4 linked regions of the Sus scrofa genome follow. The protein of the gene in region 3 purifies or fractionates together with the protein of the main gene of each other region. This does not show direct contact. Links are inferred from orthologs where the notes say so. Each region holds a gene or a part of one and is shown on either strand. Other genes may lie near its edges. The genes, in order: BAZ1B, HIPK2, DAXX and CBX5.

The links.
Region 1: the proteins of DAXX (region 3) and BAZ1B purify together in Homo sapiens (co-immunoprecipitation; 3 studies listed by BioGRID and IntAct, with this or other methods). This does not show direct contact. The link is inferred for Sus scrofa from reciprocal best matches to the Homo sapiens genes DAXX and BAZ1B.
Region 2: the proteins of DAXX (region 3) and HIPK2 purify together in Homo sapiens (affinity purification with western blotting; 3 studies listed by BioGRID). This does not show direct contact. The link is inferred for Sus scrofa from reciprocal best matches to the Homo sapiens genes DAXX and HIPK2.
Region 4: the proteins of DAXX (region 3) and CBX5 purify together in Homo sapiens (affinity purification with mass spectrometry; 3 studies listed by BioGRID and IntAct, with this or other methods). This does not show direct contact. The link is inferred for Sus scrofa from reciprocal best matches to the Homo sapiens genes DAXX and CBX5.

Annotation. Positions count from the first base shown.
Region 1 is NC_010445.4:10,839,080-10,846,895, reverse strand, and holds the start of BAZ1B (tyrosine-protein kinase BAZ1B), read left to right. Parts: upstream 1-2,977; 5' UTR 2,978-3,116; exon of another isoform or gene 3,117-3,347; 5' UTR 3,348-3,358; coding exon 3,359-3,465; intron 3,466-7,816. UniProt on the Homo sapiens protein: Atypical tyrosine-protein kinase that plays a central role in chromatin remodeling and acts as a transcription regulator. Involved in DNA damage response by phosphorylating 'Tyr-142' of histone H2AX (H2AXY142ph).
Region 2 is NC_010460.4:10,131,667-10,138,837, forward strand, and holds part of HIPK2 (homeodomain-interacting protein kinase 2), read left to right. Parts: intron 1-1,043; coding exon 1,044-1,204; intron 1,205-2,665; coding exon 2,666-3,124; 3' UTR 3,125-7,171.
Region 3 is NC_010449.5:29,675,814-29,683,441, reverse strand, and holds DAXX (death domain-associated protein 6), read left to right. Parts: upstream 1-2,296; 5' UTR 2,297-2,429; intron 2,430-2,500; exon of another isoform or gene 2,501-2,525; intron 2,526-2,961; exon of another isoform or gene 2,962-3,298; 5' UTR 3,299-3,350; coding exon 3,351-3,584; intron 3,585-3,724; coding exon 3,725-4,556; intron 4,557-4,676; coding exon 4,677-4,891; intron 4,892-5,050; coding exon 5,051-5,285; intron 5,286-5,425; coding exon 5,426-5,900; intron 5,901-6,056; coding exon 6,057-6,279; intron 6,280-6,375; coding exon 6,376-6,435; 3' UTR 6,436-6,588; downstream 6,589-7,628. UniProt on the Homo sapiens protein: Transcription corepressor known to repress transcriptional potential of several sumoylated transcription factors. Down-regulates basal and activated transcription.
Region 4 is NC_010447.5:19,454,626-19,461,796, reverse strand, and holds part of CBX5 (chromobox protein homolog 5), read left to right. Parts: intron 1-1,825; coding exon 1,826-2,012; intron 2,013-5,209; coding exon 5,210-5,310; intron 5,311-7,171. UniProt on the Homo sapiens protein: Component of heterochromatin that recognizes and binds histone H3 tails methylated at 'Lys-9' (H3K9me), leading to epigenetic repression. In contrast, it is excluded from chromatin when 'Tyr-41' of histone H3 is phosphorylated (H3Y41ph).

The sequences.
Region 1 (7,816 bases), on a different chromosome or scaffold from region 3:
ATGTGCAGGGAATAGCCAGGGAACTGGGTTTCCTTTTTCTCCAACTTTTTACTTTGAAAATTTTCAAAACCACAGGAAGTTCAAACAATAGCTGAGTGGACTAATGAATCTAGCTATATCCTTTACCTAGATTCACCAGTTAATAACATTTTGCCACATTAGATCGATAGCTCAACACATTTTTTTTTTTTTTGCTTAATTATTTAAAAATAGGTTCTGAAGAAAAAAAAAAAGGTTCTGTTACTCTGGCCCTTTAGCCCTAAATATTTAAGTTTGCCTCTCCTAAGAACAAGGATATTCCCCAACATGACCAGAGTATCATTATCATACCCAAGAAATTTAACAGTGACGCAATAATATTACTTAAAGTGAACATATTCAAATTCCCCCGGGGTTTCCCTCATGGCACAGTGGAAACGAATCTGACTAGGAACCATGAGATTGTGGGTTTGATCCTTGGCCTCGCTCAGGGGGTTCAGGATCGGCTGTTGCTGTGAGCTGTGGTGTAGGTCGCAGACATGGCTAGGATCTGGTGTTGCTGCAGCTGTGTTGTAGGCCGGCAGCTACAGCTCCAATTTGACCTCTAGCCTGGGAATCTCCATGTGCTGTGGGTGTGGCCCTAGAAAAGGCAAAAAGAAGAAAAAAAAAAAAAAGACAAGAAAAAAAAAATTTCCCCAACTGCTCCAATAATGTACTTAATAGTAGTCCCTCCCTCCCCACCAGGATCTAAGCTCAGGTCACATGTTGCATTTCTCTAGTCTCCTTTTAGAACCTTTATTTGCGAGGTGGGTGGAGAGGGATCTTTCATGTCATTTACATTTTTGAAGGGTACAGGCAGTTGTTTGCAGAATGCCTCACAACCTGAATTTGTCTATTTTCTTTTAAGGGTTTCAGGTTGAGTGTTTTTGGTTAGAATACTGCGGAGGTGATGTATACTTCTCATTACCTGACATCACAAGGCAGAAATTGTCAGCTTGTCCCACTATCAGTGATGCCAAGCTGGATCACTTGGCTAAAGGTGGTGTCTACACCTTGCCTACGCCCCTCAAGTCTGGCATCTGTCTGTACTGATGTGGTTCAACATTTGAGTCCCTTGCCATCACTGCCACAAACCACTGCAATTCTTTTTTTTTTTTTGTCTTTTTAGGGCCACACCTGCGGCATATGGAGGTTCCCAGGCTAGGGGTCCAACGAGAGCTGTAGCTGCTGGCCTACACCACATCCACAGCAACTTGGGATCCAAGCTGTGTCTGTGACCTATGACACAGCTCACGGCAACATGGGATCCTTAACCCACTGAGCGAGGCCAGGGATTGAACCCAAAACCTCATGGTTCCTCGTTGGATTCATTTCTGCTGTGCCACAACGGGAACGCCTGCAATTCTCTTCTAAGCAGTCACTTCAGTTGAGTCCTCACAGGCTATGGCTGGGATGATGACTTCCTTTGCCACTCTCTTGACTTGATACTTTCTGCCTCAAATCCATATGTCTGAGGAGTTCCCCGGTGGCCTATTGGTTAAGGATTCAGTGCTGTCAACTGCCGTGGCTCAAATTCGATCCCTGGCCTGGGGATTTCTGAATGCCATGGATGCAGCCAAAAAAAAAAAAAAAAAAGAATCCCTATGTTTGAGACACATTGTCCTCAATTTACCAAGTCCGCCCTGCTGCTCCCTCTGCCTAGGATGTTTGTTTCTCATTTTTCTGCCTAGTGAAGTGCTACTTATCCCTTTACAATCAACTCAAATGCCACATCCTCTGACAAAGTTTCTCCTAATCCTCTTAAAAGAAATGGCTCCTGAAGGAGAATGAGCACTCTTCTCTGCTAGGTCTTCAGAGGAGGCGTCTGACCTAGAACTTACTTTTTACTGGGGAGTGTCCTCACTTTCAAGGTGAGAAGAAAAGGAGAAAAGGGTCTGGCACCGGCATGCCTCCATTTAGGGACAACTAGCAACCAGGGAAGGTACATTCTGGGGCCAGTGAAGGTTTCTGAATCAAGGGAGATAATTTAATAGCAAAGAATGATTAATAATTATGTTTCTGATTGTATGGGTAACCTAACAGATTTTGAACTAAGTGGGAGTAGTCTGCTTGGAGAAGCAGCTTAACTGTTCTCACTCTCTAGGTGTAGTTACCGCTGTTTTCTTACTGCGCACTTTGTACAGCACTCATTACAGAGAACTGTGATTATTTGTGTCTTATTTTTTCAGGAAGTCTCTGTCTTATTTTTTTCCCTATGGTACCCAACGCAGGGTCCTGAACCCGGCAGGCGCTAGTAAAGACTATTTGAATGAATGAGTGTATTTTTAATAGCCATATCCTTTAATGTATTTTTCTAAAGAAGCTTTGATACGATCCTTTCCAGCAAGCCACTAGAAACATCGTATTAATATCCACATCTCAACCACGCTCTCATCCAGAAGTTAACTTTGGGGTGAGCAGGGTTGGGCCTCAGGTTATGCCTCAGTCGAACCTTTGCGGGGCAAAGTCTCGGGGTTACTTCCCGCCAACCCCTCCTCCCATCCGCCCCACCCGCGCATCCCCGGGCGTGGCTGAGAGCGGCGCCTTTAAGAAGGGGGCGGAGCACGAGTGGGAAGACAAAGCCCCTGGCCGCGCGCTCCCCCTCCCCCCTCCGGCGCACCGCACGGACAGTGGTGCCCGGATGTCGGTGTCGCCTTCAGTGACAGATGGCGCAGTGTCTGTATATGTTAGAGGGCTTCTCTGGCCTGACCTGTTTGAATTCCTGGCCTTTCGGTGCCCCGCTATCCCCCACTTTCAACCCTGCCGCTGGAGGCCCGCACTTCTGTCACCGGCGCTTACATAACTTGACCTTTCACCTCTTCATACTGCCCTCTAGTGCGCTGCAACCCAACTAGGCAGCCCGGGAAGGGGGCGGGACCCAAGGGCCGAGCGGCAGCTCCTCTGAGCCAATAGACTCTGGGAGCTGACCAGCTCTCAGCCTATTGGAGCATTCGCCACCGGCGCCACAGGGGAGCAAGTTAGTGTGTGCGCTGGCCGGGCGGGGGGGAGGAGGGGAATCTCCCGCCATTTTTCAATAATTTCCTCCGGTGCAGCTGAGGACGCGTCGTGACTGCTGAACGCTGGGACCCGTAGCGAAGGTTGGCCGGAGGCTTCGGGGCGGTGCGGCAGTGTGCGTGGGAGTTCTGTGCCTTTGCGTCCCGTTCCATGGCCCTCGCGCGGCGGCGCTGGCCCTGAAGGAGCCGAGTTCGCGCCGCCCTCTCACCCCTCCCCTCCCCCACCCCACCCCGGGAGCCTGGCGCTTGCTCCCGGCCGCGGGGCCTAGTGTTGCGCCGCAGGCTCGCCGAGAGCCTACGTCTTCCCCTCCGCAGACGCCGCCGCCATGGCGCCGCTCCTGGGCCGCAAGCCCTTCCCGCTGGTGAAGCCGCTTCCAGGCGAAGAGCCGCTGTTCACCATCGCGCACACTCAGGAGGCCTTCCGCACCCGGGAGTATCCTTTTCCAGCCGCGCTGGCCAGGCCGCCCGCGGGGTGGGGTGGGGCGGGGTGGGCCGCGCAGCCCCGGGCCAGTGGCAGCTGTCAGCGCGCCCGGCGTCGGCGGGCCTGCACCCGGAGCTTGAGCCCGGAGCCTGCAGTTCCGGGGGCGGGAGGGCCGGCTGGCCGGCCGGGTTCAGGCCGCTCTGGAGCCCTGTGCCCTCCATCCTTTCCCGGACCCCGCATTTTGTCTACGGGCCTCGCTGTCGGTGAGCGATCCTCCAACCAATTTCCCAGGGGTTTGGTTTTAGGCCCTAATTAGCAGGAGAAACTGGGTTTCCTTTGCTGCTGCTTTTTTTCTTAAGTTTTGGGGATTGTACTCGCGCAGCTTCGTGATCTTGGTGATGCGTTCTACGTCAATCTCTGCAGGGGCATTTGTGTTTTGCTCCCCCCGTGTGGACTTTAGGGTGGTGATGGACTTACTGGTGATTTTCCAGACTTAGAGAAAAAGCAGGAAAAAGTTACCTTGGAGGAGCGGATGCTTTTCTTCCCTGGGTATGCACAGATAAGGAATTTTGACGGTGTACAGCAGATAGGTATTTGTCTTCTAACAATATTTAAAAAAATACCAAGACACGCTTAAAGTTTTTATGCTGTGCTTGAGGAACGCGAGGCTGATGTTTTAAGTACGAAGCATCTTTCTAATCATTGCTTAAGATTTCTTTCACAAGCTTTATTTGTCTTGTAGTTGAAGGTCGTACAACTCTTACTTTTTTTTAATGGATGCCAGCTAAATCCTTTATGAAGCTTAAGTGTAAACAAGATTTCTGAATCAAGCTTTCTTTAGTGAATAGAAAGCTTCAAGAGTGAAGGCTAATGTATTATTTAGTTTTATCTCCCCCTTCCCTTTGGAAGAACTTGATTTCTTAGTAGTTTGCTTGCCTCGGTATAGGAGGAAGCGCCAAGTGTGAGCCATATCATTTGATTTCATTTCTCTTTGATCTTCTCTTTAATATGATGCTTTACGGGGTAACCTCGCTCTTGTGTGAGTGCAGATTGTGGATGTTAGGTGTTTAGTACAGAGGGACTTGGAAAGTGAGTCTGTGCTTTAGGAAGGCTCTTGAAATGTAACTGTAGCATCTCAGAGCTGAAATGGATCTTGGAGATGGTGGGTTCTCCTGCCAGAGTAGGCCAGGTGGGCCCAGACAGTTGAGGCCGACTTGTTAAGGTCATACACTGAATGATGAGAGTCAGGAGTAGAATCCAGTGCCGGTACCTCATCCTTGTAAGTAAATCAAGGAAGCAACATGAAATGTTATTCCTTCACTTTTAATAATCTTTGTCCATTGTTTGTGTCAGTTTGTGGTATAAGAGAAAGCGCATTTAAGGGGGTCGTAGGAGGAATAGTCTGGTTCTTTTTCTTGTTCTGTTAGGACTTTAGATTGTTTTGGAGGAGTGCTCTAGCTCTACTAAATACAACCCTGTTTTAAAAGTGATCTACCTTTTTTTTTTTTTAATAACATTCCAAAACATCAGTGGAGTAAAAAATTCCTTCTGGGACTATGCCATATCCTTTTCAAATGTCAGCTTTTGAGCACCTGATGGTTATTCATACTAATGTTATTGGTTATTAATTTATCAGGCCTGGTTCTAGTGGAGTATAAGAATCTGCAAATTAATCTCTACTCTATGAGACAAATTCTAAATCTGTAATAGGCACTGAGCTCTGTAAAAAATGACGAGATAGCTAATTTCGAACTGGCAGCCTAGGCTTTTTCATATCATTTACTGAAATCGTTGAACTGTGTATGAAGAATTTCTTTAAATGATGACAGTTGAAAACTGAAAGGTGAAACTTTTTAAGTGGTAGGTATTTAATAAAAATTCCTCATCTTTAAAATTTCCCATGCCAGTATTCTGAACCCTTTTTACAAAGGAGTTCTTAAACTGTTACATATTTGGGGGGAAATTGCTCCCTTTGGAATTTCTTCTAGTGGAAGCACTTTGAGGATGGTTTTTAAAGCAGTTGTGCTATGTGGTTGCCAGATTGACATATTTCTTTATTAGGCTATTAGGGATTTCATAGAGGAGAACAAGTATGCGGTTAGGTAACTGCTGCATTTGAAGTATTTCTATTACTTAATTTATAGTTATAATTATGTTTTTAATAGGATTTCATACTCTAATTTTCTCCTAATACCTTCCTCTTGATTGTATATATATTCTGTAGCAAATTTGTATGATATTTTATTGACTTACAGCTCTGAGCATTGTGTTCTTGCAGGTATTATTGTACATCGTCACTAAACTTACAGTGGTAGTTGTGAATGATGCACATATTTGATAACTAGATTTATATATTGATAATTATGTTTATTGTACAGTAGCTCAATCTATGGTACATTGCTTCCTAGAGTAGTACTACAGGCAAGACACCAGATCTTTTTTTGTTTTTGTTTTTTACTTTATGGCTGCATTCAAGGCATATGGAAGTTCCTGGGTCAGGGTTTGAATTCGAGCCACAGCTGTGACCTGAACCACAGCTGCAGCAATGCCAGATCCTTGGGTCCTTAACCCACTGCACTGAGTGAAGGATCCAAACCATCCAAACCACACCTCTGAAGTGACCCAAGCCGCTGCAGCTGAATTCTTAACCCACTGCACCACAGCGGGAACTCCAGGACACCATATCTTAGCTGGAAAAGTTAACTTTACCAGATTCACTTCTTGATGTAATTATTTGAGAGTAGAACTCCACACTGACTGTATTTAAGTTGATGGATTTTAAGGAGGAACTGAACCTATGTGTAGTCTGCTGTAGATTAATTTGTGGTTGTTGTTGTATTGTTTTAACTATTTTAGTTTTTAAAGCATAGAAACTAGTTTAGCGTCAAGGTAAGAGAATTTTCAGGTGGTGTAATAAAGAGTGGCTGTTAGAATATACAGCTATTCTGGCTCTAGGCGAGAATAACTTGATTTGCCTAAGAAAAACCCGACTAGAGCTTTTTAAGAGCTGAGGCAAGACAGGATTTTATTGGACAGTTGGAATACTGAGCAAGATTGTCTGTTGACTTGTATAATTTAATTTCTTTAAAGTAACAAGTTATTCCGCTTTAGAGTTATTTTTAACTTAATGACACACTAGTCCAAAGAGAGAAAATAGGATAAAAAGCAGACCTTGAGTTGGTGTTTGTCATCCATTTAGAACTCTTAGGGTTATAGTTATGCATATTTAACCTCCATACTTTTCTGGGCCACTTCCTTTCAGGCTATCAAGTACTTTATTGAAAGAAACAATCCTTAAAAGGCTAAAGAAAACAAAGAAGCAGCATATTGTGGTAAGGAGAGAGTTCTTGAACTCTTGAAAAAGTAGATGCATGATGAGATAGTCTAGGATTTGAAATTATCTTATCATTTATAGCTTACACAACCTTTGGAGAATTGGTTTGACATTTTGTCTGCAATTATAAGTGCAGCAATCGTTGGGACATAAAAAGCTCAGTTGGCATTTGCTCTGAGCGGTTATTTGAGAGTGAGTGACTTATATTGGTAACCTAAAATCTGAAATAGGATTTAGAGGCAGCTAACTCAGTGTCCTTCTAGTGGGCTTTTTTTTCTCCTTTCATTTTCAGTTTTTCTGTAGCTTTTCTCTTACCATAAGTCAAAGCAATAACCAGGACAGATTTACATAAACTTAAAAATATGTAGTGTAAGCGGTTGTAGAAATTTCAGTTTTTGACTTTGAAATTAATCTAATTTGAATGACTAGTCAGTTTAAAATTTTGTATTAGAGGACATTCATTCCTAGATGTAAACAGTGGGTTTATAGTGCTGTCCAATAGAAATATGTGAGCCACATGTAATTAAAGTTTTTCTAATGGCCAAATTTGAAAAAAAGGAAACTGAGTGGGGAAAAAAAAAAGGCACATTTTTCTTATTCCAAGACTCAGGTTGAAGGAGTAGTCCCTGTCTGCAGTGTCCTTTTCTAGAGACAGAAAGATCTGGAGGAACCCATGATGACTTTTTAGGCTTCTTCCTGGAGGTGGTGTCTATGGCATCTATTGGTCGGAGCAAGTCAAGTGGCCAAGCCCAATATGGTTGGGAGGGATATGCAGTCCTTTTCCTGGGAGGCATTTGCAAGCCACGTGGCAGTGGACGGAGAGGTAGACTCTTTTTCTGGAAGGGAGGTGGATATTTGCAAAGAAAGTGCGTCTGCCACATTTTAGGGTTAAGGGAATGTTTCCTGGGGAAAGTTACTTTTAAGATGTGATCTAAAGCATGGTTAGAATTTAGTTAGATGAAGAATAGAGGACTGTGTCCTTTGAAGAGTTTGTAATTTTGAAGGCTCCTGATCTTTAATTTTTTGAAA
Region 2 (7,171 bases), on a different chromosome or scaffold from region 3:
TCCGGTGTTGCCATGAGCTGTGGTGTAAGTTGCAGGCATGGCTCGGATCCTGAGTTGCTGTGGCTGTGGTGTAGGCCGGCAGCTGTAGCTCTGATTCAACGCCTAGCCTGGGAGCTTCCATATGCCGTGGGTATGGCCCTAAAAAGACAAAAAAAAAAAAAAAAAAAAAAAAAAAAAGGCACTGAGAGGCAGGCGAGCCATAGCACTTGACTCCACCAGTCCTGTGCCCACGCGTGCCGTCCCCTGCCTTTGCGCCTTCGAGCCTCGAGTTCCACTCTGCGGGGAGTTGGTGTTCACACATCACCTGGCACTGAAATGAACTAAGATGGTTCCTTGTCCTGTTTGTTTTATTGCGGTGGTTTTTCCTCCAGACTCGGGGGGCCCCTTTTTGGACACTCAGTCATCTGTATCCTGCTGCATCTGGGCCTGCACCTCTGTGTCCGGGCACATGCCCGCAGCTGCACCTGGACGAGACACAGGAGCTGCGAGCACTCTGCTCCCTCCCTGACTCCCCTTACAATTTTCAGATTTTCAGCGTCACAGGGTAGTCATTCTTCATTCTTCACTCTTCTTTTTTTTTTTTTTTTTAACTTTTTAGGCCCGCAGCATAAGGAGGTTCCCAGGCTAGGGGTCCAGTCAGATCTGTACCTGCCAGCCTACACCACAGCCACAGCAACGTGGGATCTGAGCCTCATCTGCGACCTACACCACAGCTCACGGCAACGCCAGATCCCTGATCCACCGAGCGAGGCCAGGGATCGAACCTGCGTCCTCATGCATACTAGTCAGATTCGTAACCTGCTGAGCCACAACAGGAAGTCAGTACCAGGTAGTCATTCTCAAGTCCAGCGAAATTTGCTCCCAACCAGTGGAAGGAGCCGCAGCCCCAGGCCAGCCCTGGGTCTCGGAGAGACGCAGGAGTGGTGGCCAGCAGCCTTGGGAATGCCTTCTAGGGAGACCACGGCTGTCCCCCGAAGGGTAGGGGGTTCTGGGCAGCTGAGGACCTGTGACTGACCTGTGACCCTTTGCCCTTCCCAACACAGTCAACACCAGTCACCACTCGTCCTCCTACAAGTCCAAGTCCTCCAGCAACGTGACCTCCACCAGCGGTCACTCTTCAGGGAGCTCGTCGGGAGCCGTCGCCTACCGGCAGCAGCGGCCGGGGCCACACTTCCAGCAGCAGCAGCCTCTCAACCTCAGCCAGGTAAGGCCGCCGTGGCCGGCCCAGCATGGGTGTGCCCCTCACCCTCAGCTGCGGAGCGGACCCCTGCCCGCCTCCCGCGGCCATGGCCCCTCCAGTGGTGGCAGGAGGTGCCCCAAGCGCCCCCTCATGTTCTGCTGGGATCTTCTTGGGGGAGGTGGCACCCCGACTCACTGAGTGCCAGCCCAAAGCAAACTGACTTGTCCGCTGTTCGGAAGCCCTGAGCGACAGGGTGCCAAAGCTTAAAGTAGACAGGCCCGCAGTTTGCTGCGTGAACCCGACAAAGGATAAAGTACCGCCCCGACCCAGTCGGGTCAGAACACCAGGGATGGGCCTCAGTCTTGAGCAGGCAGGCCCCACCGAGTCCTTGTGAGGGCTCCTCCTGCCCGGAACCCCAAACCCAGAAAAAGACAGAGGCTGGCGGGGCGTCGTGGGGTGTCAACAAGGGCGCTGCTGGGCCCGTGTGCAGAGGGTCCCTCGGGGCTGCACTGCAAGGTGGACTGGAGGCCGGATTCCTCAGAGCTCGGGGCTGAGATGTGGGGCAGTTTGGGTGGAGCAGCCCCTGGGCTGTAACCCGAGGCCTTGTCCGTCCATGTCAGCGTGACTTAGGCTCTGCGGGAGGGACGGAGGGAGGGTTGCCTCGTTTGTGGGTCTGACTTGAAACAGCCAGGTTTCTGAGAGCCTGCGACTTAGGGAGCAGAGCTTCACGGGGAGAGAGAAGCAGCAGGCTCTCCAAGAGGAGCTCCTTTTGACACTTCACAGCGGCCAGGTGGCCTTGGGTGACCGTGGGGTGTCTCCCGTTCCCGTAGCTGCTGGCTCTGTCTGTTCCCAGCCTGGGAACAGCTGGGCATGGCCTGCCTTCTCCAGCCCAGGCCGGTTGGTGCGCTCCCAGCCCAGGAGGGAGCGTCTTCTGTTACTCTCCCCCCTCCTCCTTCGCTCCCTCCTCCCCCCTCCCTCCTCCCCTTCTCGCCCTCCCCCTCCTCCCCCTTCCCAGCCTGTCCCCCCCTCCTCCCCTTCACTCCTCCCCTCCTTCCTCCTCCCTCCCTTCCCTTTCTCCACTTTTCCCTCCCTTCTCCTCCCTCTCCCTCCTCTTCTCTCCTCATTTCTCCCTCCTTCTTACTCCCTCTTCTCCTCTTCCTCTCTTCCTCCCATCCCTCCTCCCCCTTCACTTCCTCCCTTCTTTCTTCCCCACCCCCCACGTCTCCATCTCCCCTCCTCCCCCTCCTCCCCACTCCCTCCTCCTCCTTTTCTTTCCTCCCCCTCCTGCCCCTCCCCCACCTCCCTCCTCTCCCTCCTGCCCTCTCCATATCTCCCTCCTTCTCCCCTTTCTCCTCCCTCTCCTGTCCCTCCTCCTTCCTCCTCGTCTTCCCTCCCCTCCCCGCTTCCTCCTCCCCCGCCTCCTCCCCCGCTCTCCAGCGCATCGAGCCCCCAGCACAACCTCTCCTGGTGCCTCTCCTTCTCCAGGCTCAGCAGCACATCACCGCAGACCGCGCCGGGAGCCACCGACGGCAGCAGGCCTACGTCACTCCCACGATGGCCCAGGCCCCATACTCCTTCCCGCACAACAGCCCCAGCCACGGCGCTGTGCACCCGCACCTGGCCGCTGCCCACCTCCCCACCCAGCCCCACCTCTACACCTACACGGCACCCGCGGCCCTGGGCTCCACCGGCACCGTGGCCCACCTGGTGGCTTCCCAAGGCTCCGCGCGTCACACCGTGCAGCACACTGCCTACCCAGCCAGCATCGTCCACCAGGTCCCCGTGAGCATGGGCCCCCGGGTCCTGCCCTCGCCCACCATCCACCCGAGTCAGTATCCAGCCCAGTTTGCCCACCAGACCTACATCAGCGCCTCTCCAGCCTCCACCGTCTACACTGGATACCCACTGAGCCCCGCCAAGGTCAACCAGTACCCTTACATCTAAACACTGGAGGGGGGATGGCCGCAGGGGAGGAGGGAGAGGAGGAGGGACCGAGGGGGGAGCTGGTCCTTCTATACTGAAGACGCCGCACATGAACAATGCAAACGGGCCGGGCTGGGCAGGGGGCAGGGGGCAGGGACGGGACGCAAACGAAACTTGAACTAGGAAGTGGGAGGACTGAGCGTGGAGAAGAGAACATTTTAAGAAGGAAGGGATTTAAGGAGGGGGGGAAATCTATGCTTTTTATTTTAAAAAAGAAAAAAAAAGAAAACGTCAGTACAAAAAAAAAAAAAAAACACCACAGCTCACGAACCCATTGTGCACCAAACTGGAAAGGAGAAGAATAGAGCGACGGAAGATTCCAGAAGTGAGGGGGGTGGCCTCAGCTTTTGAAGAACTTGATGAACTTCTCAAAGATTATTTTCACATGGCAGCAAGTGACGCTTACGAATTTGCTGTCAGGGACACCTGATATGGAAATCCAATAGATTTTTAATGCGTGAACGTAAGAATTAGGGATTTTTCCAGAACTCTTTAAAGGGTCAGCAGCCGTCTGGAAAGGTCCAGCCATGGCCTGAGGAGGCATATTCGGGGGCTGGCCTGGGGTTGGCGAAGCCCGGTTCTGGCTCACCTGCCAGGACGGACTGGGGGGGTGGCGGCGGTGGCGGCCGGGGGGAGGAGGACCGGAGAGGGTCCAGTGTTTCCATTTCAGTCTCTTTCTGAGCATTCTGGATAAATCCCTAAAGCAGTGATATTCCGCCAATGTCATTAATAGTGTGTGTTGCAAACTCCAAGGTCGGTTTTCTTCTCCGAAGATTTCTTTTCTCTTCCACTCCGTCCCTCGTCCCGTTAGCGCAGGGTCGAGGCCTCGGCCGAGCCCTCGGAGATGTAGCAGCCTGCACCCGTGTGTCGTCCTTTGTGTTCACCCCCGACGATACCAATAGACTTTGCCTCAGTGCAATTGCACAACAAGAACGTGATCTGACGTGGGCGTGTGCGCACGTGGCGCGCCCTCCTGCCCCGGCCCGGCCGCCAGCTCTCGCTGTCTTGGTTTCACATCTGTCCCTCCTAGTGCCTTACCGACCGTCGGACGCGGCGTGAGGGTTTACTTCCGCGGTCCTCCGCGAAGCCGGCCGAGGCGAGCCCCGCCACCTCAGCCCTTCTTCTGTGCTGTTGTACCATTTTCCTCTGGTCTGGCCTTTCCTTCTTTTGGTTTGGTTTGGTTTTGGCTTTTTAAGTTTCTCTTTTATCTGAACCCCCGTTGTCTTTCCCGGGCTGTTTGCTAGCAGAGGGGTGTCGGGAAGCTGGCAGGGGCCAGGAGGAGCCCCGGGATCTGGAGAGAGAGGTGGGGGGCCCTGACGGTGGTAATGGCTTTAGATGACCTCGGAGACGCCGCAGGAGAGACTCCCCACGCGGCACCCCCACCCCATTCTGCCACAGGGGCCCAGCCCTGCCATGTGCGGGCCTAGAGGGCCCATCTCTGTTTCAGGAACGTTGGCCTTGCCAGGCAGCTGCCTCCTTCCTCATGCAGAAGGGGCAGAGGACAGGAGCCCGCCTTCCGACTCCAGGCCCAGGGCTCCCTTCCCGTGGCTGCCTGCAGGGTGGTGAGGGGGCCTGGGGCCCAGCCCCACGTTCTCAGACGCACCTCTGCTTCGCTCTCTCAGCGCTGCCTGCCTCCCTCTCACCTCTGGTTCCACCGGCTGTGCTTTGCTCTCACGGTTTTGCCAGATCCTTCCCTCTCTGGACAACCAGGAACCGGTGTTTGCTGCTGAATGTGTCCTCCAGTTCCCCGGGCCTGCCAAGGCCCACTTCGGCTCTTGGTTTCCGGGGGCCTGATGAGCAAAAGGCTGGAAGGACACTTAGGAGGGTGACGGGCAGTCAACGTTTTCCAAGGATATGTGCCCTTTGTCCTCTTTGCACCTTCAATACATTCTGGAAATGTCAGACTTTGCACACTGGTGGGGGTGGGGTGGAGAGGGCTCTACCTACAGCAAATTATTCCTGAACACATGCACGTCGGGAGGCTCCATCTGGTCAGAGATAGGATGTTCAAAGTGTGGTCCTAGTGGTTTTTTTGTTTTTTGCTGCCGAGTCCTTAACTGACCCCAAAGCCAAGTTTCCAAGGTGCAAAGAGATCACTCCCGTTTCAGTCTGCGGCCCCCACTTTCCCTCCTCCCTGTACAGGCCCCCTCAAGGATCTACTGTGAAAGGTGTTTTGTACCACGATGTCTGACCTAACTCAGTAACGAAACCCAGCCCTTACCTTAGCTCTTAGCTGTGAAATATGAAGTAACTCTGGAAATGTCCCCTCTCCTCCCGTAAATTCTGCTTCGCCTACACAGCAATCGGTCCCCAGCTTGAAACCAGCTTAGGCCGGAAGGAAGGAAGGACACCACCACCCACTCGGGAGGGGCACCCCCGGGCCGAGCCCGTGGTACCCAGCGGGTGGACAAGGTGCTCCGCTCGCCTCGGGGGAGCAGGGGCCGAGACCCATACCAGATCATCCAGGCGCGAGGACGTGCTGTCATTCTGAGACAACAGGAAAGCGGCCCCTCCGAGCGAGGGGCGGGGGGAGAAAAGTCTTTGAAGGATGCGCTAGACAGGGCCTTCCCAGAGCCAGCCCGCCGGGGGGCTCATCTCTGTTCTGGACTTTGGGCATCCAGAGGGCAGCAGTGCCCCGTCGGATCTCCCCTCGCCCGGTGACCCGGGTACAGACGTCTCCGCTGCCCACGAGCCAGCATTTTTGCCTTATTGGGTAGCATCCTGAGCCCCCCTGTGTGGTTCCCTTCGAGCCGGTTTCTAGATCTTATCTCTTGCCAGCAGAGACAACACAGCCTTCCCTTTTAAGAGAATGATTTCGTCGCCTCAGCTGGAGATGATGCGCTCGCCTGACATCATCTTGCCCTTTCTTCCAGATCAGGAATGAAAGTTCCATGCTGCTCATAAAGAGAATATGATTTGTATGGATTGTCTTGGTTATTAGCATTGTAATGACTCTCATAATCCTCATTTTGGTATTTTAGTTGGGATTTTAAATGCCCATGGTGTTCCAGGTATCTTTGTGTTTTCTCTTGACTATTTAAGTTTATTTTGTTCTATCTGTGAGTATCTGAGTAGACAGGCGGGACATCCCGATGTCCGGTTTTGTCAGACCAAAAAAAAGAAAAGAAAAGAAAATGATCCAGGAATTAGGAAAAGGCTCTCGAGAAAGATACACCACAAAACAAGGTTTGAAGAAGAATCAGGGCCTTTATCTCTTCACAGGCCAAAAGGCCACGTTGGGCTCTGGCGACACGGGCCCCATCCACACTGTGTTCTCCTAGGTGCTCAGTGGCCTGGGAGGAGACCTGAGAAGATGGGCTCGGGGGTCCCTGGCTGAACCTTGAGCCGCGGGTCCGTCCCACGTTCCCTGCGCTTCTGCAATCTGACAACTAGATCCTGGGCCTGCCTGAAATCTGCTATTTACCTGTCCAGCAAAAAAAGTAAAAAACAAAAACCTCTGCCCAAGCTGACCCAGCTCCTTTCCCAAATGCTGCCCCCCCTCCACCCCCGTGTCCCATCAGCACAGCCGGAGTGTGGCGTGCGGCACGCAGCCTTCAGTGCGGAGACAACTTCCCCTCCTAGGAGCCCTTGAAGGTAATGAGCTGATGGAAGGTGCCAGGCAGGTGGTACCACTCTGCCTCCTCCTTCAGGCCCCCTTCCCCACCCCGACCCCATCTTCTCAGCACATGATTCCAGGGACAAACTATGGAGCCAAAAAAAAAAAAAAAAAAAATTGGTGGAGGGATAGTAGGAGGCTAGAGAAACACTGACCCAAGTCCAGCAGCTCCTTGGACACTCCGGCTGCTGCTCCCCCAAAATTGATGGCCCACATGCTGCTCCCCAAACCTAGAAACTACAGGGCCTGAGATGAAGGAAGATTTGGAATGACTGGCTTCCCTGGAGTTAATGAAGGGGACCTCAGGCAGTGGCCAGCCCACATTAGCGCCCTCCCCAAGCACCCCATCCCCAACCCCTCCTCAGCCTAAGCCCCAGAGCTGAGGGGTCAGA
Region 3 (7,628 bases):
TCCTTGCCCCTTCGAATGTATGCATGCTGCGGGCAAGGCCAAAAATCAAAATAAAAAAATGAGACAAATGATATTTATGATACATTGATGAAAGAAACAGGCTACATGTCTCTTCTTTATTTAAGACAAGGTAAGATTATCCCCAGGAGCTTTCATGGTTGAGAACTATTCTTGCATTTTTTTTTTTTTTTAAGGAGAAAGTTGGGGGGGTTCCCTTTGTGGTGCAGCGGAAACGAATCCGACTAGGAACCGTGAGTTTGTGGGTTCAGTCCCTGGCCTTGCTCAGTGGGTTAAGGATCCGGCATTGCCGTGAGCTGTGGTGTAGGTTGCAGAAGCGGCTCAGATCTGGCGTTGCTGTGTGGCTGTGGTGCAAGCCTGCAGCTACAGCTCCAATTAGACACCTTAGACACCTAGCCTAGGAACTTCCATATACCACTTGTGGGGTCCTAAAAAGCCAAAAGATCAAAAAAAAAAAAAAAGATGAAAAAAGGAGAAAGCTGGAGTTCCCGTCGTGGCGCAGTGGTTAACGAGTCCAACTAGGAACCATGAGGTTGCAGGTTCGATCCCTGGCCTTGCTCAGTGGGTTAAGGACCCGGCATTGCCGTGAGCTGTGGTGTAGGTCGCAGACACAGCTCGGATCCGGTGGTGCTGTGGCTCTGGCATGGGCCGGTGGCTACAGCTGACTGGACCCTACATATGCCGCAGGAGAGGCCCTAGAAAAAAGGCAAAAAGACCGAAAAAAAAAAAAAAGGAGAAAGCTGTGTGAGCGTGACCTTGGGCCAGTCACCTGACGTTTCCTCAGGTTTTGGTTTTTTTTTTGTTTTTTTTTTTTTGCTTTTTTAGGACCGCACCCCGGACTTAAGGAGGTTCCCAGCCTAGGGGCCTAATTGGAGTTTCGGCTTCCAGCCTACACCAGAGCCATAGCAACACCAGATCCCAGTGGCATCTGCGACCTACACCACCGCTCACGGCAACGCCGGATCCTTAACCCACTGAGCGGGGCCAGGGATTGAACCTCATGGGGACTAGTGGGGTCTGTTAACCACTGAGCCACTACGGAAACTCTTCTGCTATATTTTAATAAAATTTATCTTTAAATGTGCAACAAGAAAATAAAGTGGCAAGATGCCCAACATTTGTGGAGTATGCAGGGATCCAAGAGGTGGGAAACTCAGCGACTGGACCGGTGTTAACTTTTTGGTTTCCCCAGAAGTTCACCTTTGGACCCAGCTTTGCTTCCGTGAGTCCCTCCAGCTTCCCTAAAGCTGGGCTAGGTGGGGGTCCAGGCGAGGCGGGCGTCAAAGTTGGTTTCTTCTCTTTTTGTTCTTTCATCAGCACTTCCAGAAGAAAAGACGAGACTCCGAGGCCTTTTACGAGCCTCATTTCGTCTCACAGTCCATACAGCGGCAATCTGCAGATTCTCCTCAGAGCCTCCTCCTCCTCACAACGCCCGTCCTCAGGCCCTGGAGCTTCTGGACAAAGCCCGGCCTCCCGGCCATCATCGCCTCCGCCTCGGGGACCTCCTCCAGAAAAGACGTCGTAGAACCACCTAGATTCTACCTACTTGGTTGGCCAATAGTTCTGTAGTGGAAAGCAAACCAGCAACAATAACAATAATAATAAAACACATTTGTACAGCTCGTGGTGCTCATTTGTATCCCGTGTTAGGACTTCGCAATTGGGCGAAGTAGGCACCTGTCGGTAGAAGTAGCAGCTGGACAGCGAAAAGGAGAGCGGGCCCATAGAAGGGAATGGCAGGTACAGTCGATTAAGCCAGGGAAACTGGTACCTGGCAGGTAGGAAATCGGCGCCAGAGGGCTTGTCAATAGCGCCGCGGATGGAAAAGGTTTTATTTTCCTCTCAAGAGGCTCCCCCCATTCCGTGCATCCCTGTGCAGCCTCGGAGGGCTCAATTCCTTTGCTGCTCTGTTCCGTACCCCCCCCCCCCCCCTTGGGAAGGTGGCTCTGTCCTCCCCGCACGCGACGCGCTGGCGGTTGGCCGGCTGCGGGAAGCTTCTGATTGGCCGAGTCGCAGAAGCACCGGGTGAAAAGAGCTTCACTGGCGGCGCGCCCCCACTCGGGGCGTAGCCAACGCCGTACGGGAAAATGGCGGCCCGCATGTACCTTGAGAGGCCCCGAATGGGGGATGGAGGGGCGCAAATCCGCCCCCTGCAGGTCAGGGAGAAAGGCGCCTCAGACTATGTGGGCGGCACTGGAGGTGCTCGAGGAGGCGGGCCTACTGTCACTTCCGGCCACTGGGGAGACTGGGATCCGTACGGCAACATGGCCGCACCCAGGAGCCTGTAGGCGGAAACTCCGCCGCTTCCGGTCCGGAGTAGGGCCTGCGGTGGGAGGGGGAAGGAAGGCGGAGGGAACCATGCGAGGTTCTGAGATCCGCGGCGAGTGTCGCCTCGAGAGACCGTTTCTGAGGTGGGGCCGGGCGGTGCGGGGGGCGAAGGCGGGGCGGGAATGTCGAGGTCGAGGTACTCGGGAGTCCTGGGCGTTGAGTCTGAGGGGCAGGCTGAGGTACCTTCCTTACTATCCCTGAAGGGGTGTGGGGGGGCCGGGGGCTGAACTGGGGGAGGGGGACTTGGCGGGAAGCTCCTCCGGGGGCAGGGCCGGCCTCAGGACTAGAGTGTGAGAGCAAGCAGGAGAGACCAGTGTGGGGCCCACGGTCGCTTACAGGTCACACGGAGAGAATGGGGAGGCTCGGGTTGGTGTGAGAGAGAGGGGACTGGAGCCGAGCTATCTCCGACTGCCGCCCCGGCTGGAGGAGACCCACCGGAGGGCGGGGTAGGGAGGTGGTCTTGGCAGGAGAAAGGGGAGTGGATGTGGGGAGGACCAACCCTCGCCTCGGAGAGGCTGGGAGTTGGGGTGATCCTACAGGACGGGGCGAACCTGTGGGAGAGCGGAAGGGGGACACGGGGAGGTGGTGCCAACGAGGGTGTGGTATCTGTTCCAGGGGGTGTCGAGGAAATCTGGAGTGCAGTGTGAGAGGTGGTCCGGGGTTGAGAAGAATCAACTTGCCACCTATGAGAAATAGTGGGGAAATGCAACCGAAAGACCGGATGTCGACGTGAGGGGTGGAGCTGGGGGTGGGACTTCAGGTTTTCCGAGGGTTTGGGGCTCTCGTAGTAAAGGGACAGAAAAACACGGTACTAATGGTTGCTGAAGACAGGCAGTGAGGACACTGTTGGGCATGGCTGGGTGTTTTTGAAAACCAAGAAGACAAAAATGTGTGAGATGAAGGGATGGGGCTCTGCTGGAGGGGCTCTTTCTGAGGCCCCGTCCCCTTCCAGCAGGAATCACGAAAACCCCACCACTTCCTCCCTCCGGGGGATTTGATCCCCCATGGCCACCGCTAACAGCATCATCGTGCTGGATGATGATGACGAAGATGAAGCAGCTGCTCAGCCAGGGCCCTCCCACCCACCCCCCAACCCAGCCTCACCCAGGGCAGCCCCCATTCCAGCCTCACCCAGGGCAGAAGCCCCTGGCTCCTCCCAGCCCCATGGGGCTGGAGGAGGCAGTAGTTCGGGCGGCAAGAAATGCTACAAGTTGGAGAATGAGAAGCTGTTTAAAGAGGTGAGCTTTAGGGGAGAGGATTCTTGTACTCCAGGGAGGGGGCTGGCCGACTGGCTCTCTTGTCTTGTCTTCCCCACTAACCCCACCTCGCCTTCTTTCTCTCAACCCATCCCTTGTCCCTTTCCCCGTGAACCTTCCAGTTCCTTGAACTGTGTAGGAGGCAGACAGCAGACCACCCTGAGGTGGTCCCGTTCCTCTCTAGCCGGCAGCAGCGGGCCCACTCACTGTTTTTGGCCTCGGCGGAGTTCCACAACATCCTCTCTCGGGTCCTTTCCCGGGCTCAGAGCCGGCCCGCCAAGCTCTATGTCTACATTAACGAGCTCTGCACTGTTCTCAAGGCCAACTCGGCCAAGAAGAAGATGAACCTGGCCCCTGCTGCCACCACCTCTAGTGAGCCCTCCGGGAATGACCCCCCCACAGGCCCCTCCTCGGACCCCATAAATGCTGAGACCACTGCCTCTGAGGCCCCAAGGACCCGTGGTTCCCGGCGGCAGATCCAGCGCTTGGAGCAGCTTCTTGCGCTCTATGTGGCAGAGATCCGGCGGCTGCAGGAAAAGGAGCTGGATCTCTCAGAACTGGACGACCCGGACTCCACTTACCTGCAGGAGGCCAGACTGAAGCGTAAGCTGATCCGCCTCTTTGGGCGGCTGTGTGAGCTCAAAGAATGCTCTTCTCTGACGGGCCGGGTCATAGAGCAGCGCATCCCCTACCGGGGCACCCGCTACCCGGAGGTGAACAGGCGCATCGAGCGGCTCATCAACAAGCCAGGGCCTGATACCTTCCCTGACTATGGAGACGTACTTCGGGCTGTCGAGAAGGCAGCTGCTCGGCACAGCCTTGGCCTCCCCCGACAGCAGCTCCAGCTCATGGCTCAGGATGCCTTCCGAGATGTGGGCATCAGGTTGCAGGAACGTCGCCACCTCGATCTCATCTACAACTTCGGCTGTCACCTCACAGACGACTACAGGCCAGGTAGGCCTTAGCAGGGTCTCCCCAGTCCCTTGGTGTGTTGGCCTATGCTGGAGGAAGCTCTCTGGAGTCCCTCCTTCTAGGATTCTGGGTGAGTGCTCTGACCTATGTCTTCCCATGCAGGTGTCGATCCTGCCCTGTCAGATCCTGTCCTAGCCCGGCGCCTGCGGGAGAACCGGAGCTTGGCTATGAGCCGACTGGATGAGGTCATCTCCAAATATGCAATGATGCAAGACAAGAGTGAGGAGGGCGAGAGACAGAAGAGAAGGGCTCGGCTCCCCCAGGCCACCTCTGCCCACTCTGCAGAACCCCCCAAAGCCTCCTTGGATTCTGGCGAGGTATGGAAGGGCCACACCCTTGAGAGAGACCCTGTCCTTCCCCTGCACTGGCCAGGAGGGAGTCCTTGGGACTGATGGCGGAGTGTGCAGAAGGGATGCAAGAACCAGTCCCTCAAGGGGGCAAGGGATTCCTTAGAGAAACTCCTTTGTCCCCCGAAGGGCCCTAGTGGGATGGCCTCCCAGGAGTGCTCGACCACTTCCAAGGCTGAGACAGATGATGAGGAAGATGAGGAAAGTGATGAGGAGGAGGAGGAGGACGAGGAAGAAGAGGAGGAGGATGAGGAGGAAGACGAGGAGGCCACAGATTCCGAAGAAGAGGAGGAGGATCTGGAACAGATGCAGGAAGGTCAGGGGGACGATGAAGAGGAGGAGGAGGAGGAGGAGGAGGAAGCAGGTATGTCAGGAAGACAGTCTTCTCGTGTGTCAGCTCCCTCGACTGTTGGGCACCAGCCCCATCATCTGAGATCCTTCCCATCCTCTCAGCACTTCTCTTCCCCTAGTTCTTACTCTATCCTCTCCTCTTTTCTTTTCCAGATAAGGATGGAGATAAGAGCCCCATGTCCCCACTACAGATCTCCACTGAGAAGAACATGGAGCCTGGCAAAGGGATCAGCAGGTCTTCAGGGGAGCAGCGAAGCAAAGCACTTGGGGTGTCGCCATCTTCACTGTCAGAAGAGCCCCCGGCCCCCTCCAGCATTGATGCTGAAAGCAGTGGCGAGCGTCTTGAGGAGTTGCCCCTGGAGGAGGAGAGCCCTGCGTCTCAGCTCTTTGAGCTAGAGATTGAAGCCTTGCCCCTGGATACTACCCCGTCCCCTGAGGAGAGGGATGTGTCGTCTTCCAGGAAGCCATCCGAGGAGCCCCTCACCACTGTCCTGGAGAACGGAGCAGCCATGGTCACCTCCACTTCCTTCAATGGCGGTGTCTCTCCACACACCTGGGGGGACTGCATTCCCCCCTGCAAGAAATCTCGGAGGGAGAAGCCAAGAGAAACAGGGCCATTAGGAAACAGGTAACTGCACAAGGAGGAGCAAGAGGGAAGCCAAGGAGGGCCTGCGGGGGGCTTTCTGAGGGCACTGTTGCGGAGCCCAGGCTGCTGGGAGAAGTGGACGCTGCCTCGCAGCCTCAGGCTGCCCTAAGCCTCCACACCATACGTTTCTGTCCTCAGCTGCGTGGCAAGGCCAAGGGCAGTGCGAGAGAAGGAGGGGAAGAGGACGCGGGCCCTGCCCAGCCCCCCTTCCCCCTTGGCCTCCGTGGCTCCGGTTGCTGACTCCTCGACCAGGGTGGACTCTCCCAGCCACGGCCTGGTGACCAGCTCCCTCTCTAGCCCATGTCCAGCCCGGTTGGCCCAGAACCCCCAGGCCCAGCCCTCCAGACCCAGTACCTGTAAGGTGAGAGGGGAAGCTGTCCCCCGACTCGGTTCCTGGCGCGCCCACCGCAGCCCTCCCCTCCGCCCCGGGCCGTGCTGACCGTCTCGCTCCCCGCAGATGAGTGTGGCCACGCAGTGCGACCCCGAGGAGATCATCGTGCTCTCGGACTCCGACTAGCTGCCCCCGCGCTCCCTGCTCCACTGCGCTCGGGACAGAGGATGGAGGCAGGAGGCACTGAGCTGGTCCCCGTTTGGTGGTTTCTTTTAAAAACACAAAGCTTAAGTTTTACACAGAAACATTAATAAACAATAAAGTTCTTTTCTTATGGTACCCATGTCTTCCTTGTCTTGCCCTGGCGGCTGTCTAGTCTCAGGCCTGGGACGGATGGACCCCGCGCCCTCCGCCCGACTCGAGGCGGACTTTACTTTCCCACTCGGGGCGGCCAATCAGGGGGCCGACTCGGAGTGAGTCGGCCAATCCAGGCCTGTGTGGGGCGGGGCTTGGGGGACTGTCAAGCTAGGAGGCCACTGCGAGGAGATCCCACAGTCCCGCTAATGACCACAGCACAGGGGCGGGGCCAGGCGGCGAGGGCCTGGACTCCTTGCCACTGGGAAGAGGCAGGCTTACGGAATTAAAGGGGAAGGAGAGCCTCGGCCGAACCGTGTCCTGAGCCCCCAGCGGCGGAAGAGACCCGGTACCTTTAAGATGGAATGAGGCCGTGGTTCGTTAAAGGAGAAGTGGCCGAGTCGGCCGAGTATTGCCCAGCGGCTCGGGCGGGGTGCCGGCTTGTGCCTTTAAAGCCGGAGAGGCGGGAGGCGAAGCGGAGGCGGAGGGCGGAGGGAGTCGGCGCAAGATGGCGGCGGGAGGGGCCCGGGCTGCGGCTCTGGCCGCCGAGTGAGGGGCGGGGGGCCCGGGGGCGCGCGGCCCGGTAAGCGGGGACGCGCGGGGTTGGGGGGCGCCTTCCGGGTGGGAGAGGAGATCGTTGTAGCGCTTGGGGCGGAGCAGAGGGGGGCGGAGTCCGATGTGGGCGGGGGTACACAGGGGGCGGAGCCAAAAGGCCGTGGGGGCGGGTCTATGGTGGGCGTGGTCGAAAACGGGCGTGGTTAGCGATAACTGGGGGCAAGGGGCGTGGCCGGCAAAAGATCCAGGGGTCTTAGCCTAAAGGGAAATGGAGAGAGCGGTGGTTTTCAATACTGAGAGCTGACCTGCGCCCCTACCAAGGAAAAGGTACAAAACTCCAAAAGGGTAAATTTTGGAAACTCAAGCTCTCAGGCAATTGTGAATTTCTGAAGGGAGGCACCCAGCTCCCCAAGAGCTTCTTGTTTCTCTTAACCTACAAGGAAGGAGCACTGGATTTGCAGTTAGAACAC
Region 4 (7,171 bases), on a different chromosome or scaffold from region 3:
GGAGAGGCTTTTCCAGTTTGGAAATAAATTTTGTCTCATTCTGAAGCTCTTTTTGCAGAAAGTTGAAGTCTAGAGTAAATATCTCAGATTTTTCTATTCTGCTTCTTATTTGAGTTGAGTTTTTATGGCGTTTGTTCGAACCATTTCTATCTAAAGATACCTTATTTAAAAAAACAAAACCAGGTGTTCCCATCGTGGCGCAACAGAAATGAATCTGACTAGGAACCATGAGGTTGTGGGTTCAATCCCTGGCCTCACTCAGTGGGTTAAGGATCTGGCATTGCTGTGAGCTGAGGTGTAGGTCACACACATGGCTCAGATCTAGCGTTGCTGTGGCTCTGGCATAGGCCGACAGCTATAGCTCCAATTAGACCCCTAGCCTGGGAACCTCCATATGCCACAAGTGTGGCCCTAAAGAGACAAAAAAACCCAATAAAATAACTAAAATATATAGTGCATAAATGTGAAAAAAAAAATTCTTAAGTCATTGAAGGGATTATAGAAACTGCTTCTATGATATCTTTACAAAGTGTCTTAACATAGCTAGTTCTGTTTTCCTCATAGTACAATTCCCTTGATCCAAGTTTAGTTAGATATAATTATTGAGTTTGTATTTTTTTGTGCTTATCAGTCTAAAATGTATTTGGACTACCTAGAGACGATAGGCTTGAATCCAGAGCTTTGAACTAATGCAGTCAAAATTCCAGTTTTGAATCTTTTCCTTCTAATGGTATGCCTACATTGTAATGCTTTAAGCCCATATTGCTTTTTTTCTAAGTATTTTCGATCTTCTAATAATTTGTTGACATTTCTTCAAAATATAAGTCACATATTTAGGATAATATAAACTGGACAACGTATTAGATTTTCCTCTCCAGGATTTGCATAGACGATTATATGTATGAAATCACATTATTTTGCCACTTACAGAGCAGAACTCATATTTGAGTTTTTGTTTTTGTTTTTCCTTTTTATGGCTGCACCTGCAGCATATAGAAGTTCCTAGGCTAGGGGTCAAATTGGAGCCACATCCGCAACCTGCACCACAGCTTGCAGCAACGCCATATCCTTAACCCACTGAGCGAGGCCAGGGATTGAACCTGCATGCTCATGAACACTGTGTCCGGTTCTTAACCTGCTGAGCCACAATGGGAACTCCCAATGTTTGAGTTTTTAATAGCTTTATTGAGACATAGTTTATATACCATAAAATTCATTTATTGGAGTTCCCGTTGTAGCTCAGCAGAAATGAATCTGACTAGTATCCATGAGGATGCAGGTTCGATCCCTGGCCTTGTTCAGTGGGTTAAGGAATCGGTGTTGCCGAGAGCTATGGTGTAGGTTGCAAACGTGGCTCAGATCCCGAGCTGCTGTGGCTGTGGTGCAGGCTGGCAACTGCAGCTCCAATTTGACCCCTAGCCTGGGAACCTCCCTGTGCCATGGGTGCAGCCCTAAAAAGCAAAAAAATAAAAAAGAGCTTCTGGAGTTCCCTTTGTGGCCCAGTGATAACAAACCCACCTAGTATCCATGAGGACATGGGTGCCATCCCTGGCCTCAGTGGGTTAAGGATCTGGCGTTGCCCTGATCTGTGGTGTAGGTCACAGACGCAGCTTGGATTCTGCTGTGGCACAGGCCAGCAGCTACAACTCTTGATTTAACCCCCTAGCCTGGGAACCTCCGTATGCCGCAGGTGCAGCCCTATAAAAACAAAAGAAAAAAGAAAAAGAATAGCGCTTCTTTTCTTGCCTACTTGTCTTCTTTAAATAAGGCATTGGATTCCCCCCCCCTTATTTCTTTGCTTTTTTTCTCCATTCTTCTTGCCCAGGGAGCACAATACTTGGGAACCTGAGAAAAATTTGGATTGCCCTGAGCTAATTTCTGAGTTCATGAAAAAGTATAAGAAGATGAAGGAGGGTGAAAATAACAAACCGAGGGAGAAGTCAGAAAGTAACAAGAGGAAATCCAATTTCTCCAACAGTGCTGATGATATCAAATCCAAAAAAAAGAGAGAGGTAAGCTTTATTTTCCTTTTTCCTCAACAACCTATTTCTTCTGCCACTGTGGCTCCCCCTTCCCCCCAAAAAGGGCATTATTTTGGTTGTTTCCCTTCTCTGGATGGCTACAAGGTAAATTGTTGAACAATAGAGCGTCCAGGGAGATATGTTGATTGACTACAGCGCCCCCTCCTGACTGAGTGAGGAACATAATATGAGTCCTCTAAATTGGGGTTAAGGTGGGAAAATGAAATCCTTGGAAAACATCTCATACTCTGCCTTATTCATGAATACAGGCAGAGTTATCTTAGAGTCTTTGGTGAATTTTGTAAGGATAGAAAGGAACTTTAAAATGTCTTACCATTTCACTTTTTTCTTTCGTGCCAAAATTAACACTTATTTTCAACCCTTTATAATTCTCTGTCTTTTAAAATTAAGGTGAAATCCACAGAACATATAGTTTACCATTTTGAAGTGTACAGTTCAGTGGCATGTATATTCCCTTCTGATCCTACTATGTTTTTACATTAAATAAGAAATTAGTTTTCATTTTCCTTTTGGATGTTTTTATTGTTCAGTTTGGAAAGTATGTTTATGAAATTTTGGTTTAATTCAGTTGCTTTGATCCTTCTGATCTTTAGCTCTCAAGTAACTAGCCATAAGCACTATTATTGCCTCTCTTCTTTTTTCATTTATATCTTTTCCATCTGTACACACATATACAGATAACCCACCTCCCCAGCTTCTACTGCTTTCATTTATTTCAAGGCTGTGAAGCCTTTTGTGGTGAAAGATGTATCATACCCTTAAAGTTTAATAAAATAAAAGCATAAGTCTGCTTCTGAATCTTGTAGTGTCACTGCCATAAACATCCCTATTTATCTTCGTTTTCCTTGGATACCCATGTTTCTAGAGCATCAGTTCTGAGCCCTGGCTGCACATTAGAATCACCACAGGAGGTTAGGGGACAATGCTTCAAAAAACTCCACTGCCCAAGATAACACCCCAGACTAATTAAGTTCAAATTTCCGTGGATTGGACATTGTCATCAGTGTTTTATAGAGACTTGCACAAGTGATTCCTGACCTCCAGAGGAGAGAAAATGGGAGACCAGCTTTCCAAAAAGAATGGAAATAAGAGTGAAAGATTGGAGGCTCCCAGTGAAAGTGGATTCTAGGTTTTTGTCTGTCTCCTTATTTGTTTCCATGATTAATTTTATTTTTTACAATCTTATTTTTAAAACTGCCCTGTTCTGATGAGGTGTGTATAACATTTGATATAGTGTACTGATAAATAATTTGAGAATGCCTTCTCTTCTCTAAGGAGCTAAGATTTGATTCTTTCTTTTTTTTTATTAGTCCTTTGTATTTTGGTTTTGTCATTTGATTCATTTTCTAGCTAAGTAAAGAGACTGAAAAACAACACAGCATAAGACCTGTATAGCCATTTGTGACATATAGTTTGTATTTCCTCAACTTACAGTTTCTCTCCTTTTAAAAATGAGCAATCTGACTTTGAGCCACTGGCCAGTGTAGAGAGTTTCATTCCTAGGCCAGGTTCTGATGCTGCTGACCTTGAAAACCACCCCCACATGTCCCTTACATTGTAATGTTCATCTGGGGCCCCTTGACAGCATTCTCAGCAGTGCTGGCGGCTGTCAGGTAGGCAGCTGGGAAGATGGGTGATTGTGTGTTTTAAGGGTGCAGGAGGGGATTGCGTTTCTTTCTTTAGACCACTGCAGAAGAAATTTGTTAGTCGGCATTATGCCTGATTTAAGATTACTGCCTGTGTGATGATTTTAGCATTTTCCTCGCCTCGGCTCCTTTTCAGCATCTCGAACATTTTTCTTTCCTTCCCTCCCTATGTGGCAAACTGTTTTCAGCCGCCAGCTATGATTTACGACTCAGTTCGTGCGCCAGCATTCCAGCTGTGAGCAGCTGTGTGCACATCTGGGAACCTCCTCCTTTTAAGCACCCCCAAAAGAGGCTATGTTTTTAAGTCTGTATGTCCCCTGATCCATGCGTGGAATTTCCTTCCCAATGTTGGATTCTGGTATCTTTGGGGACCACCTGGACGCTGAATGCTTTGTATCTCAGAAGAAAGCAAGGCGAATATCAGAGCAAAGAGATTTTATTATGAAAATCAGATATCAGAGATTTAGTTCAATTGGGCAGTCTTTCTAAATCTTTTTTTGTATTGACACTAAATAAGCTTGCATTATCTTCCATAAAAAGGTTTTTTTTAATTACCTGGTTTGTATAAAATTTCACCATTTTGCTCTCACAAGTGGCAGCACACCTGAATCAGACTCTAATGCTCCTTGTCTGGACTGCGTGATTATCGTTTGACCAAGTCTGAATAATTCCTTACAGAATTATCAGTCTAGTTCTGCTCTCTTTTTTTATTTTTGTTTTTTTCGGGGGGCTTTTTTTGGCTGCAGCAAGCAGCAGCTTAATGTGGGATCTCAATTCCCAGACCAGAGATTGAACCTGGGCTGCAGCAGTGAAAGCGTGCGTCCTAACCACTAGACTACCAGGAAAGTCCCCAGTTCTGCTCTCTAATGCAATTGATCTATCCCCTTCAGGAAGGGATAGACATAGACCAGGGCCTCTTCCCCAAATGTGTGGGTGTTACAGTATGTGAGCTCTGAAAAGAAATTTTCTGTTTTATGATAATGCCTTGAATTATCCTTATCTCTGTTCTTCCATAAGCATAGATGACTCTGGGAAAAGAAGTATTAAAAATATTGGTCAGTGTTAGGTGAACTAAAAGTCTAAAAAAATAAAGATTAAGAGGTTTTATATTTGAAGTTTATAAAATGAAAAAGGGTTTCTTTCAGGTAACCCCTGTGGACTTGTTTATCAACCCAGAAGGAACAATTTAGCAGTAGTCCATTTATAATAACAAGATTAAATGAGGGGATAGAGGATTTTCTATATGATGACTCCAGAATATTTTAAAGGATATTAAATAGTTTTAGGGGCCACTCCAAATCCTTTGAAGGAATACTGGAAGGACAGCTGCAACTTCCTGTAGAAATATCTCTGTCACTGGCTGATGCAGTATTGTATTTAGATCCTAAGAATTTTATGAATTGGTGACAAAAGTGATATCTAGTGATATTAACTTAGGTTGTGCTTTGTTGAGCTGAGAAACGGGAAGGTTTTTTGACTGTTATCTCCAAGCTGTAACCTTTCTTCATCTTCTATTTATAGCAGAGCAATGATATCGCTCGGGGCTTTGAGAGAGGATTGGAACCAGAAAAGATCATTGGGGCGACAGATTCCTGTGGCGATTTAATGTTCCTAATGAAATGGTGAGAGAGATTGGGCCTCACTCTGCAATTGTGTTTCTTTGCCAGTGACTTGAATTTGTACGGAAGATAGGGAGAGAAGACTGAGTAATTTTGATTAAGAATTTTGATCGTCAGGGAGCTAAATTTTTAGCTGATACCAACTGTCAGTATTAAATGGGAATTATAGTTCAGAATGGATTTAAGACATTTGAAAGCTTTAGTATTAAGCCAAATTATAATATATTAGCACACATACTAATGTGTAGATTTGAGGTAGGAAACATATAAACATGACCTAACCATTTAATTTACACAGTTGTGAATCATTTACCATCAGACCACGAGCCTGTGGCCATGGAATAGGAATTGAGTGAGGCTTTCTGCCATCACTGAGGACCAAGACCACTCAATAATGTCTAAAAGAGAAGAGTAATCTCAACAAAAAGCATTAAGAATAATACTGGCCAAAGCACAAATTATTTCATCCGGTAGAGGGAATGGATCTTAGAGGAAAGTATAGTTACTTCCCCTCAATTTGGTTTCTTAAAGACAGAGTGATTTATAGTGTGGCCCTCACTACCTCTCTATTTCCAAGTGTTCTGGGCTTGTAATTTAAGTTTGGTCTCTAAATAGAGAGTTCATGCTACAGTGCCACTAAGGAAGCTAATTACCTTAGAAGTTGTATAGTCAAGAGGTTTAATATTTTATCTGATCGAAATTTTGTTGGTAAATTACCCAGAAGTCTGTATTTGAAGAATCACTATACTCTGTCTGCATAAGGAGCTGTATTGACTGCTTTTCCCACTCAGCCATATGTGGTACTTATGATTTACATTCACATGTTAACTAGCTTTTTCCACCACAGTCCAAATTTGGGTAGCTGCTCTTAGCGATGTGTTTCCCTCCCCACCCCCCTTCTCATCCATAATGCTTACCTCTATGAATTCAGCATCTCTGTTTCCTAGGAAAGAGGTTAGCTGTCTTTGCTCACATCTCGGTGGGATTTTAATTTAAAAATTTTTTCTTTCTTGATTTGGATTTCTGGTTAAGGAACTTACTGGATTTCTTTTTCATATTGTAATTGAAATTTGCATTTAATGCCTACATTTTATTTTAGTGACTAGATTTTACATTCGTCCTCACTCTGTTTTATAAGGACTGTTGCTGACCGAAATTTCTACTTTCTTACTGTTCTAATCCACAGTTCTGACCAAAAGGATGAGTGTTTAAAAGGTCACGCAGGAATTCCCCTACTGGCTGGGCAGAAACGAATCTGACTAGTAACCAAGAGGTTGAGGGTTTGATCCCTGGCCTCGCTCAGTGGGTTGAGGATCCGGTGTTGCCGTGAGCCATGGTGTAGGTCACAGACGCGGCTCGTGTACTGCATTGCCTGGATACCGTGGCTGTGGCGTAGGCTGGCAGCTGTAGCTCCGATTGGACCCCTAGCCTGGGAACTTCCATATGCCTCGGGTGTGGCCCTAAAGAGCAAAAGCCAAAAAATAAATAAATAAAAGGCCACATGATGAGGAGAGTTAGGACCTTTCAATGATCCAGATGATCCAAAAAGTGGATTGAGCAATTTATGCTTAATCAATAGGGCTGAATGTAGGTTTGATTGTGTCTTTGCTCACATGCTCATACCCACACATAAAAATTATGGGAGCAGAATTTATATAGTAGTTTAATTTTCAGCCTTTTGGTTAAGCCTGCTAGGTTTCCCATCTATTCTAGCTTAAGTCTTCTGATGTGGTAGTCGAATGATGTTTACTAACTCGATTCATTTACTTAAATTTCTCCTTGAAAATGTGGGACTGTTAGGATCCTTTTCCCTTTGAAGTCAAGATGGAGAAGAAATCAAGTCAGCTAAATCATAATTTAATGA